Schizosaccharomyces pombe: one gene and its partner. The gene in region 1 interacts genetically with each later gene. Each region holds a gene or a part of one and is shown on either strand. Other genes may lie near its edges.

What was found. Genes that interact genetically often act in the same process or in processes that back each other up.
Region 2: mutations in sac12 (region 1) and oca2 together harm fitness less than expected from each alone (positive genetic interaction), as found in Schizosaccharomyces pombe (one large-scale study listed by BioGRID).

Annotation. Positions count from the first base shown.
Region 1 is NC_003424.3:2,060,462-2,066,460, reverse strand, and holds sac12 (inositol polyphosphate phosphatase), read left to right. Parts: upstream 1-2,678; 5' UTR 2,679-2,819; coding exon 2,820-4,655; 3' UTR 4,656-4,888; downstream 4,889-5,999. Other genes in the region: eisosome BAR domain-containing protein Pil2, read left to right, coding at 457-1,608; fpb26 (fructose-2,6-bisphosphate 2-phosphatase), read left to right, coding at 5,984-5,999.
Region 2 is NC_003421.2:757,868-764,474, reverse strand, and holds oca2 (serine/threonine protein kinase Oca2), read left to right. Parts: upstream 1-1,850; 5' UTR 1,851-3,621; coding exon 3,622-5,574; 3' UTR 5,575-6,107; downstream 6,108-6,607. UniProt on the Schizosaccharomyces pombe protein: Overexpression causes cell cycle arrest.

The DNA of each region.
Region 1 (5,999 bases):
AAATTGCTAATTGTCATAGAGGAGGGAAATGATTAAGATATCTATATGTTTGCTGATTGACAAGTCCTTATTAATTTTCAATTGTTTAGGTGTCGCATTCAGTGTACGGACAATAATGACATTATGCTTTCGACATATAAATTCCATGTTGACATAGTGACGTCTCAAGCCTAGCTCAAATCTTTAAAACATGGGTTCAAGTCGCTAAAAATCTACCTGAACTTTACAGCTCTTTTGTTACTTTCGAAAGTGTAGTCTAATAAGTCCATTTTGAGCCTGACCTTATTTATACTTCGCTTTGTCTAGTGTGAGTTGGCGGATTAAGTATGTTTTAATGAACATTGTTTCAACCTACCTCTAATTAACATACTAACCTTTTTATTAGTATTTCCTTTCTCTTTTTATATATACATATTTTCAAAGTCTTAAATCGTTTATCAAGTAATTAGCAAGATGATGGGCACTCAACCATCTTACTCTATTCATACGCTTCGCGCGCCTCCTAAAGCGAAACAGAATCAAATTCCTCCCTCTACTACCCGTCGTGCAGTAAATGTTAATAAACTCGGCAGACAATTCCGTTATCCATCTGTGGGTATGTTTACTCCCGAAATGGCTAAACGCCTTGCAGCTCTCGTTAAGATGGAAAAGGATTTACTTCGATCTTATGAAAACGTTGCCATGGAGCGCAAAGAATGTGCCAATCAACTTTCGTATTGGGGTGAAGATTGCGATGATGATATTAGCGATATCAGTGATAAGCTTGGTGTACTTTTATATGAAATTGGCGAACTTGAGGAGCATATGGTAGACAGATACGATCAATATCGTGTTAGTCTGAAGACCATCCGTGATATTGAGGCTAGCGTTCAACCCACCCGTGTTAAGAAAGAAAAGCTACTTAACTCCATTTATGATGTTAGAAGCCGTGATCCTGAGTCCCCAAAGCTTATTACTATGGAACAGGAACTAGTTCGTGAGGAAGCTGCGTGTTTGGTTGCAGAAGCGCAGTTAACTAACATTACCCGCGAAAACTTTAAACGTGCTTTTACTCTTCATATTGGTACATTACTTGAGCATTCTGAAAAGGTTGCTATTCTTTGCGGGTATGCCAAGAAGATCCTCGATCTCCTGGACGATACTCCCATTGTTCCCGGTGAGCCTCGCCCTATTTACGATGGTTACAACATAACCCGTGACTATATTGTTGAGGCTGAACGTGAGTTGGCTAATTGGCAAAATCCTTTCCAAACTCCTGAACCCCTTACCGACATTGATGGTTTGCCTTCTCAAAGTCATTATCAAACACAATTTCAAGCTAGTGTCGTTCCTCGCACAGATGTAATCAATGAACCTCCACGCCGTTACTCTCATGCGAATGGTGTAACTACTTCCGGCACTACACACTCTTACACCTCTACAGGTAGTAAAAGATATTCTCAAATGGGTACAGAAGATTATCAACCTAGTTTTCAACCAAACATTCTTCAAAGCACCCAAGTTGTTGATAACTTTGAAATTGGCGAGGAGGATGATGAAGAAGTAGGATCTCAAGGCGTTGCTGAAACGTCTATGCCTAGCACTAGTGCACAACCTATTGCTGCTTAAGCAAGTCTTGGTGTGTATTCACGCGATTTCTGGTGATCCTTACGCATTCATCAATTGACGTGAATTTTTTGTCATGTCAATTCACATAATTTGCTAGCACGTGTTAAGCACTTGCTATTGCTACATATGCATGCTTATCGAACTAATACTCACGTTACTCTCATTACCATTGTTTTTGTGTCTATGTCGTTTAACCATATTTATTTTCCACCGAGTTTTATGTTTCGCAGATGTTGGTTTCTTAATTATCTTGTTTTTATTTAGTGTTTTTTTTTAATTCCTGCGGTCAAAATTAGGCTTAACAAGGTTGTTGGTTAAAGCAATTAATTAACAATGGAGATTATTTGTGTTGAAAAAGGATTTTATTAAATGTATGATTTTATAATTTTTACTTCTCAATCCGATTTAATAAAATATTTATGTAAAAATTGGCAGTTCGGTTGTATTAGTAAAAAGCAATACAACATAGATAGCAAATTCAACTGGGTCAGATCTTTAGTATATATTATTTAACAACGGTAAAAATATCAATAAAGCTTAATTAAAGCAAAACATATGCTTCCTTTCGAAGAGTTGGTTATCATATAACACCTAACTTTTATAGAAATTATGTATCAAAATATAAAGCGACATTGCCTATATGTTACTTGCAGTCAAAGAAGGCTCGTAAACTATTTTGATTATGCGATAGAGTATGGTATGTTTTCTGTGATATCTGAAAAACGCTACGATGAATTATTAATTATTTTTGCTACTCTCAAAATCAATAATATCATACAGTATTATGATTTTCGTTTGCCTATTCTTCGAATTATAGTTTGTAGTTCAGCCTTAATATAGGTAATTGGGGAGTATCAGCATCACCAGACGACCTATCTTGTAAAGCAAAGGTACAATGAATAGCGATACTTTACGTATCATTACATAGTGCAATGAGAATTGTTAATAATATCATACATTACACTGTCACTGAAAGTTCGTTTTGTAAAACGTGCTGCATAAACCTTCAGGTAACAATGAACTCGTTACTCAGGCGCTGCGTTGGAAATCAAGCCTTCAAAAATCGTTTCATGGACATTAAAGAGTTTGATTTGAATTTTTGTAAATATAGCATTCTCATTTTTTACTTTTGAGACCTAATTTGGAAAATACATTAGTCCGGGGTTCATTATAGCAGAAAAGCATCTACGCTTCTCAAATACAACAAAATAATGAATCAGGACGTTAGAGTATTTCCAGACAGCATTTATCTATCATGTTCCAAAAAAAAAGCTTCTCTTCGAATAGATAGAGTCGACGGATGCCTTAGTTTGAGCAATTCTCTTGATCTCAGCAAGACACCTGACTATAATAACGTTCAGTTATATGGATTTATTCGATTGAAAATATACAAATATGTAGTTCTTGTTACAAGTTGTGATTTGCATGCAGCAATTCTCGGAAACAATATTTATCGGGCAAGGAAATTTGCTATCTTCCCAATTACAAGGACTCTTCCATTCTCCACGGGTCTGCTAAATATTAAAGATGAGGAAGAACTACATTATATCAGTTTGCTCAATAAACATTTGTCAAAAGGCCAAATACTTTTTAGTCCAACGTTAGATCTAACCTGTTCCCTTCAAAGATTACGCGTACTAACCCAATCTTTTGAACTGACATCAAAATATAATTACCGCTTTTTTTGGAATAAATATGCATTTCATGAATTAATTGAATTGACGAATAAGGATTTAGGCTTTCAAGAATGGATTCAACCGATGATTCAGGGTAATATCGCCATTACTAACTCGTTTTTAAAGACTTATAACCTTAGACTGTGTGTTATTACACGACATTCTCCTGACTATGCGGGTACGCGGTATTTCACCAGAGGTGTAAACGCACAAGGAAGTGCTGCTAATTTTAATGAAATTGAACAAATAATAATGATCGAATCACCCATCACCCTTGAAGAACAAATGGTTCTTTCTTTTACTCAAATTCGAGGAAGTATCCCCATGTTCTGGGCCGAAGTTAATGATCTTCATTATCGACCTTTATTATCTTTACAACCTCTTGATTATAGCGAGACTGTGTTTGGGAAGCATTTTCAAGAACTTGCCAACGATTATGGGGACAATCTTGTGGTGGTCAATCTTCTAGACCAAAAAGGACGTGAAGCACCTCTACGGTCTGGGTTTGAAAAATTATGTAAACGAAATAAAAACCCTCCTTTGTCTTATGTTTACTACGATTATCATAAGCAAGGAAGTAGAAATCTCCCTTTGTTTCTTGCTGAAATTCAAAGTCTCTTGATAGAAGGAAAATATTATGCCGAGCATGGATCTAAAACTACTGCAATGCAAACCAACTTTGTAAGGACAAATTGTATGGATTGCTTAGATCGGACGAACGTCATTCAGACTAGCATTGCACAGTTTATTCTAAACATGCAATTACACGATATTGGTGTACTTTCTAGCTCTGAGAGTTTGGAAGAATATGATAGTTTTTTACAAGATTTTCGCTTAATATGGGCTAATACTGGAGATTATATCAGTGATCTCTACACTGGTACCCCGGCCTTAAAAGGCGATGTGACTCGCCATGGAACGAGAACCATTTTTGGAGCTTTCAAAGATTTATTAAACTGCTTTCGTAGATATATTCTTAACAATTTTTTTGACGGTATGCTGCAAGATAGCTATGATTTGGGTCTTGGAGTATTTCGTCCTTACGACTCACTTTCGATTCCGGACTTGCCTTTGCGTTTTCACTGGACTAGATTTGTGGCACCTGGAATTTTTTTGTTCACCACGATAATATTAACTATACAAGAATTATTTGGAAATCCAAGTCTGTTCTGTCGTCTGTTATATTCTATCCCTATGGTGAATGCTGGAATCTACCTATATTTTCATCGTAGACAATACGTTAATTGGCCTCGTCTAGTACTACCAACGTATGCTAAGGGAGGTTGGTTTTCGTTTCGTAATCATTTCCGAAATATTACTCTTAAAGTGTTTCGTTTTTTGCGTTCCGGCTCTTTCAAAAAAAGTGTCTAACTGTGCATTTCAATAACTAAAGAACAGTATTGCTATAACTCTTAATTAGCAGAAAACGCTCTTTGAACACTCGAAGTTCACTCTTTATTTCATTAGACTTCATAGATGTCAATCTTGCTACTGAACAAAGCGATGCTACCCAACTTTATCAAGTGACTAATTCAGATCATTTTACGTGATTGGTAATTGTAACTTTATTTTCTTTAATTGCTCCAAGCTTCCTACCAATATCAATTAGTAATTTAAGATTTTCATAATTGTTAGAGCCCTTAACAAACTATTGTAGTATGGATAACACACGAAAAAAATATAGCAGACAAAATTAATATTTCTAACTTTTATTAAGTCAGTGTTAAATATTGGGCAACTTTGACCATTGAATCACTGAGGCTTTTGACTCAAGTTTTACTCGGTTTTAAACAGTAAATGAAATATATGAAAAAGCCAAGCTTTCTTTCAATTTCATAAGTGTTGTTCATGTTCAATATTTAGGATACATACTTCTTCCAATTTAGGGGCATTCTGGTTTAATATTTTCAATGAACATGTTATAAAAATGAATTTTTTAAAAGATCATACAGTTCAGCAACGTTTTCTAATACTTCCAATCCAGAATCTTAATTCACAATTCACATTACTGAAAAAATGATGAAGTTATGCCTTACCCGACAGTTTTTGTATGAAAACTCCACAATATTACGAAAATGATTATATACACTTTTACAATCAGCTTAGCATAATTATGCTTATAGAAATGGAAATGCTCACACTTAATTTTGAATATTATTTTAATAGTGGATTTAACTACTCCTAGTACCAAGTCAAAGACTTGAGATCACTTAATGTAGCTTACGGAAGCGTAAACATCTCTCGCAATAATACTGCGTAACGAAGACCTGCAATTTAGTATATTAAGCTTGAACTTACACGTATACCCCTCTTGTTTATGTTAGCAGGAGTGCAATGTTCTGAACTTGTATATTTTAAGCCGTTCTGTTAAATATTATTAATTTAATCGTTTTTCTTTTTAAAAATTATAGCTTTTTAACGCATTGACGAGTTCACTACATACTCTAAGGATACTTAACATAAGTACGAGTACTGCAAACCGTCCATCAAGCTCTTCAAGGCGAATCATACATTTCGAGCGAAATACGACTCTTTAACATATATTCATTATTTAACATATTCACTTAATAATTCAACCCGATTCTGGCAGGATTAGCAACCTGGTCATATTCTTATGATTTATTCTTTAATATTTGTTTGCAACATAACCACACCCAAAATTTAAATTAAGAACTAACTTTTTTACATTAAGATCGAACATGAAAGACATTGAAG
Region 2 (6,607 bases), on another chromosome or scaffold:
AACCGTTCGATTCAAAGCAAAGTACAAACAAAGCCACAAAAGGATCTTACTAATAACGAATGCTACAAAAAACTAGACCAACTAACTAAACAAGTAGCAAAGGGATATAAAGAGGTACAGCGAAGTCACTGAAAAGATGAAGATAACGAGATATACAGATGTCATTAAAAGAGTGGTATAACGAAATATAGTGATATCACAAACCCACAGAATTTTAGGGCTGGTAAGAAAAGTAAAGAGAAGAAAAACAAAACAAAAGAATAAAAAAAACAAAAAAACAAACAAAAGGAAAGGCTGATGTGCATATAGTCTCAAAAGTCAATCGAGTTTAGTTTTACTTTTTCATGAGCATCTAGCATTTGCTCTTGTTTTGTGTTCGGCCGTCTGACTGTTTGGATGAGGAAGAAGAAAATTTTGTAGGGCGGCCGTGAAAGAAAAGGAAACAAAGGAAAAATTAAAAGAAAATAAATAAAATCGAATTAAATTAAATTAAATTAAATTAAATTAAACGAAATAAAATAAAATAAAATAATAATAAAAATAAAAATAAAATAAAATTGTAATTGTAATTGTAATTGCATTTGCTTTTGCTTTTGCTCTAGAAATGCTCCAATGTCTTTCCCTCGTACTAGTGTCATTGTCAGGATGCTGGATGGGCGAGATGACAAACGAGGAATAGTGTGTGCAATAAACAGGAGAGAGAAAGGCAAGTGAGAAGCAACAAGAGTTGAATCAAACTGAATTGAATTGAACCAAATTATTATTCTTCTTATAATCAAATTATTATTCCTCTTTAATCAAATCACTATTCCTCTTTAATCAAATCACTATTCCTCTTTAATTAAATTCCCATTCCTCTTGCTTACTGCCGCTCTTTTTTTCCCCCTCCCCTTGTTTAGATTTGGGTTGCTGAAATTTTCTTTTCTTTTTTTCATCCTCCTCCTCCTCCTCCTCCTTACTTTATTTTGTGTTTAACTTTTTTTCCCTTCTTTCCTTCAACTTTAATAAACCCGATCATTCCTTCCGATTGATCCTCTGCCAAATTTCCACCAAACGGTCGGATCCAAATTCAATGGAAAAGGAAGCGACTGGCGGTCGCACGAAGCAATGACCATGGCAGATGGATGAAATGATAACATCAACGGAATTAATTTCCTGACAAATGATGATACAAAGTATTGAATGAAACATGTCAATCATCATTTACTTATCTACATTTCCCACACTCTAGTGAATTTCATACTTTAGCTAATTTCAACACTTTAGCTCTAGCTACTCTTCCACCTCTTTAATTTTTTCTTTAGCTCTCTCCATCTCTCTATCTCTTATAACAATCTCTTTTTTTATACGTTATTCATCTTTAACCTCTCCCTTTCATCCCATCTCAATTCCTCCTTCGACTCTCAATCGCCCCCCATCTACCTTCTTTCGCTCTCCTTCTCCCCAACGAGGTCGCGTTCCTCTTCGCTATTCCCCTCTACTCCCCTCTCTCGCCCCACACACCGCCTGTCTCGCTCACTCAACTCCCTTTCGCCCTCCCCCACGTCATCCCCCCTGCTTGCTAGCGTTTAGCCTTTCGTTCTTCCTCTCAGCGTTTAGCGCGGTGCAACGGATTGTGGAGTCGCTCGCCGGAGGTAACACGTTGTAGCCGAACTAAAAGTGACATCATACTTCGGCACTTGCATGGGTGGGATTCCCGGAGATCGTGTGGATTTGCTAGCTCCTCCATCCAATGCGACTCGGCAGTTGATGTAGAGCGGCCATTCGAGATTACATGGGAGATGCTGTAGTAGACTGCGTGTTTCGTATACATATATTATATACACCTGCCGTGCACCGCAATACTTTTTGCCTTTTCCCATCCACTTTTTTTCATAGTATTGTTGAGAGCCACATTGATTGATTCCTTTTTATCAAGGAATTGAACCTGTTTCTCGTCGTCTTTTTTTTTTTTTTTTAAACTAGCAAATAAAAAAATTCATTGTAAGATTTGAATTATACTAAAAAGCTCTACTTCACTCCCCCGTCAGTCATAGTCCAACAACTTTGACTCAACAAAGCAAAAGCAAAAGCAAATCAAACCATACGATACGATACGAAAAACGAAAGTTTTTTTTGTCCATTGCATTGCTTTGATTCCCTTTGGTCTATCTGCCTTTGATTTCTTTTCTGGGTAAAACAGGAATTGAAAGAATTTTGAGAAAGTAAACGAAAAAATAAAGATTGAATAAAGCATAAAGATCTTATTTCCCATCAAAACATTGTTGTTATTGTTGTGATTTCTTCTGAAAAACAACAAATCAATTTCCAACTTTTCTATTCATTTACGCTTTTTTCCAATTCCCTTAATTTTCCATCCATCCATCCATCCTCATTGAGTCGAATTCTTTCTACTCAATTTGCCATTCGTCCCTTCACCCTTCCTATTCCACTCCCTTCTTTCCGGCTTCTTCCGTTTCGTTATTTGGTGTGATCGGTATCCCGAAAGTGAGTGAGTGAGTGAATTGTGTGATTCTCTTTCCCCCTTGGTATTCTTCCTTCAATCAACATTCTTTCGAATTCCCTTTTTGGGTTGATTTGTTCTTTGTTGTTGTTTTTTTTGTTTTGTTTTGTTTTTACGTACGTTCTATTTTCTATGAATACATAGAATTTCCTGTTTCGTAATCTCAATTCATTTCTCATTTTTCATACTTTATTTGAACCCAAGGTTTTCACACTTTTTCTTTATCTTCTCTTTTTTTTTATTTCCTTTGTGTGCTTTTCTTAAAGCCTCTTTTTTTTCCTCTTTGTGTGTCGTGATCGATCGGATCGTCTCGTCGGCTCACTTTACCTTGAATTTCTCCCTTTGGAAAATATCTACTGATATACCTATAAAAAGGTTCCCCATTCCCAATTAATTCCAGTATTGTTTTTTTTCCCTCTTCCTTATTTCCTTTTTTTTTTGTTCTTGAAATCTCTCATTCCTTTGTCGTTGCGCCAAAGAATTTTCCATAAACAATAACCAATTCGTTGTTGTCAGCGCTCGATTTCCCATCAAAAAAAAGTTATCTTCTTAGGAAATACTTATTTCTTTTCTCTCTTCAACCCTTTTCTTACTTGGAATTTATTTATTTATATATTTATTTATTCATTCTTCCCTTGTCATCCGTTGTTTTAAAAAAAACTCGCTTGACATTTCCTCAATTTCCCATCTCGTCTGACAGTATCTCCGTTACAAACTAATATCTGTCAAAAATCTTTGATTTTTCTCTACTTTCTCTTTGACGTGTTTGTTTATTTCTTGTGTTCCCATTCACTCCGTCTTGAGATTGCCTCTTTGAATCGTACTTTCTTACGCAATTGTTTTGTGTCGTACTTGAAAACTTGTATTGTTAAATAGTTTAACAACTACATTCCTTTGAGTTCATTCAAGTTTCTCTTTTGTATTTTCCTTGTTGTATTCTGAAGTTTTCTGTCTTTTTTCTTCCCTGTTTTTTACCTTTTTACCAAACCTTCCACTTGTTGTTTGGTTCATTGTAAAACACTTTTTTCTCTAATCTTACCGGTGGTTTGCTCTTCAGTGAACTAGAATATTTCTTTTGTTTCTTTATTTTACAATTGCACATGATTGCCGTTACGAACATGTCTGTCACCCCTCCCAATGTACAGTTTAACCTTAATGGGGATAGCGATCATAAATCAGACAATTCCAGTTCCTCACTGGAAAATAAACTTGACACTGAATTAAAAATAACGAGTCCTCCTCGTAACCCTCCTCAGCGTTTGCATCCTGTCGACTTTTCTGAGCACGCTGATACGGACGATGATATGAATCATCCTCTTCCCAGAGTTCAATCCCCCGTCCATATAAAGAATCACATTGACCCTAAACTTGCCGAGGATCGTTATCGTTCATCTGCTGCACGTCACTTCGAACCTATTTCCATTCCCCCTTCCGCTATCACCTCTGAGGATGAAGATGATTATCATGGCTCTGCTAATTCTTCTACCGTCCTTCCCCCTCGTACTGAAAATGCTTTACATGCTGCTAGTCCTAAACCTTCAGGTTCGACTGGTTACACCTCTCCTGCTCTTTCACAAAACAGCGGCAGTGGTGGTGAAGGCGAATCTGATGAAGGCTCTTTTAACACTCAGCATCATCGCTCCCCCATTTTTCAGGCATACCCTTCTTCAGAAGACCTTGTCGGCGATCCCAACGATCCTTATCGACGCACCCGCCGTGCTCCTATTAAGACAAATCCACATGATATCCCTTCACAGTTCATTTTCAGAAAGTTGGGTCTTCATCATGGAAAGCATGGTCATCATGGACACTCTGGTAGTTTATCGTTGAAATCTCTTGTTCCTAATCATCATGACAAGCATGATAAGCATGACAAGCACGAAAAACATCATAGTTCTTTAGATCTTCGTCGCTTTTTCAAATCCCATCAAAAGACAGACAAGGAGAAAAAGCCATCTGTTTCCAAGTCAAAATCTTCCGCTAACCTCCAAGATGATCATTTCGGTCTTTTCAAAAAATACGGAAAATTTGGAAGAATGCTTGGCTCTGGTGCAGGCGGTTCTGTCCGTATTATGAAGCGATCTTCTGATGGTAAAATTTTCGCCGTCAAAGAATTCCGTGCAAGAAGGCCTACTGAAACCGAGCGTGAATATGCCAGAAAGGTTACTGCTGAGTTTTGTATTGGTAGTGCTTTGCACCATACCAATATTATTGAGACCCTTGATATTGTTGAGGAAAATAAAAAATTCTATGAAGTTATGGAATATGCTCCATACGATATGTTTTCCATCGTAATGAGTGGTAAGATGACAATGCCTGAAGTTTATTGTTGTTTCAAACAACTTCTCTCAGGTGTTGCCTATTTACATTCGATGGGTTTGGCGCATCGAGACTTGAAACTCGATAATTTGGTTGTGGATAGTAATTGCTTTGTTAAAATCATTGATTTTGGTAGCGCTGTCGTTTTCAAATACCCCTTTGAAGCCGATATCGTTGAGGCCACTGGTGTTGTCGGTTCGGATCCATACCTTGCACCAGAAACCTTGGTCCGGAAACTATATGATCCTCGTGCAGTGGATATCTGGTCCTCCGCCATTATTTTCTGTTGTATGGCTCTTCGCCGCTTTCCTTGGAAATATCCCAAGCTTTCAGACAATTCTTTCCGTTTGTTTTGTATGAAACAGCCTTCAAATGATGCTGAGTCTCCCAGTGATATACTTGCTGACATAAAAAAACAGCGCTTAGTCGAGCAAGGATGCGAACCTATTAGAAAAACCGATGAATCACATAGTCCAAACTCTAAAACTGATAACTCTTCAACTCATAAACAAGAGTTGTATGGACCCTGGAGACTTTTGCGCCTACTACCAAGAGAAACTCGTGCTGTTATAGCTCATATGTTGGAGTTGGATCCTGTTAAGCGTTACGACATTCACAGGGTCTTTGCAGACAATTGGATTAATGATATTTCGATGTGCCATATGGAAAATGGTAAAGTTATTCATTCTCCAACACATGTCCATAATTTGGTGGCTTCAGAAGAGTCACCTGCTCCACCTGCAAAGCATTAAAAACTTATATTGTCTTTCCCACGTTTGTTTACAAAGTCGCCTTGGATATTGGTGATCTGTTAAACGATACCAAAAAATGAATAATGTGGTGGCTTGTTAATGAGCTAATCTCTTAATCGTTGACGGTGTAACTTAGTTTTCTTTTCAGACTTTTTTTATGTTAAAAAATACTTTATTCTTTGATTATTAGGGACATTTCAATTTCTTACTATAATCTCCTCTATTTAATAGTCAGTCCCTTTTTTATCAGCTCAACTTTATGATTGTTGGTGATTTTTTTTTTCTTTCTTTGGTTATTATATTATTATTATTGTCTTTGTGAGGTTAGCTTGTTTATGAGTTATTTATATGGTAAATAGGGGAAATCTACTGTGGTAGATTAAAAATATCTCTACAATTTTGAAAATAAATGTAAAATTGTCGCATCTTTGAATTTGGTTTTCATTTTTTAGTAAGTTTAGATAATACAATACAATTCATTAGTCTCAAAATTTTCAAAGATCGTGTTTGAATATGATATTTTGTCCTTTTCAACCGTTGTCAAAGTTGTTGCAAATATTGAATATATGCAGTGTTTACTTCAACTGTATAATAATGGTAAAACACGTGTTCAAAAAATAAATGCCTAGGCATCCATGTGCCCTGAAGCAGCTAGTTTTTAAGCACTAGAGACAATTTCTTAAAGAAGTAGAACATATCTCATGCAAAGTTTTCGAAATCAAATTTAAGGAAGACGACATGAATACAACGGAATGTGTGTGCTATGTTCTAGCATCGCTGACAGGACAAATATATTTTAAACAAATATCCTATTTTCTATAGGAAAAGTAAAGAAATGTAAAAAAACAGTTAGATTTGTGTTTTATTAGGAAATACAAAATATTTATAGGATGGGTTCACGAACAAAAGGAAGAGATCCACTTTTTTCTCAAACAATAGATCTTAATGAGGTATATGTGTTATTAACGAAAGGGCTGAACAAGAATAAGGAGGGTTCATCTTGGATTAATTGCCAAATGCATAAATCAAATTA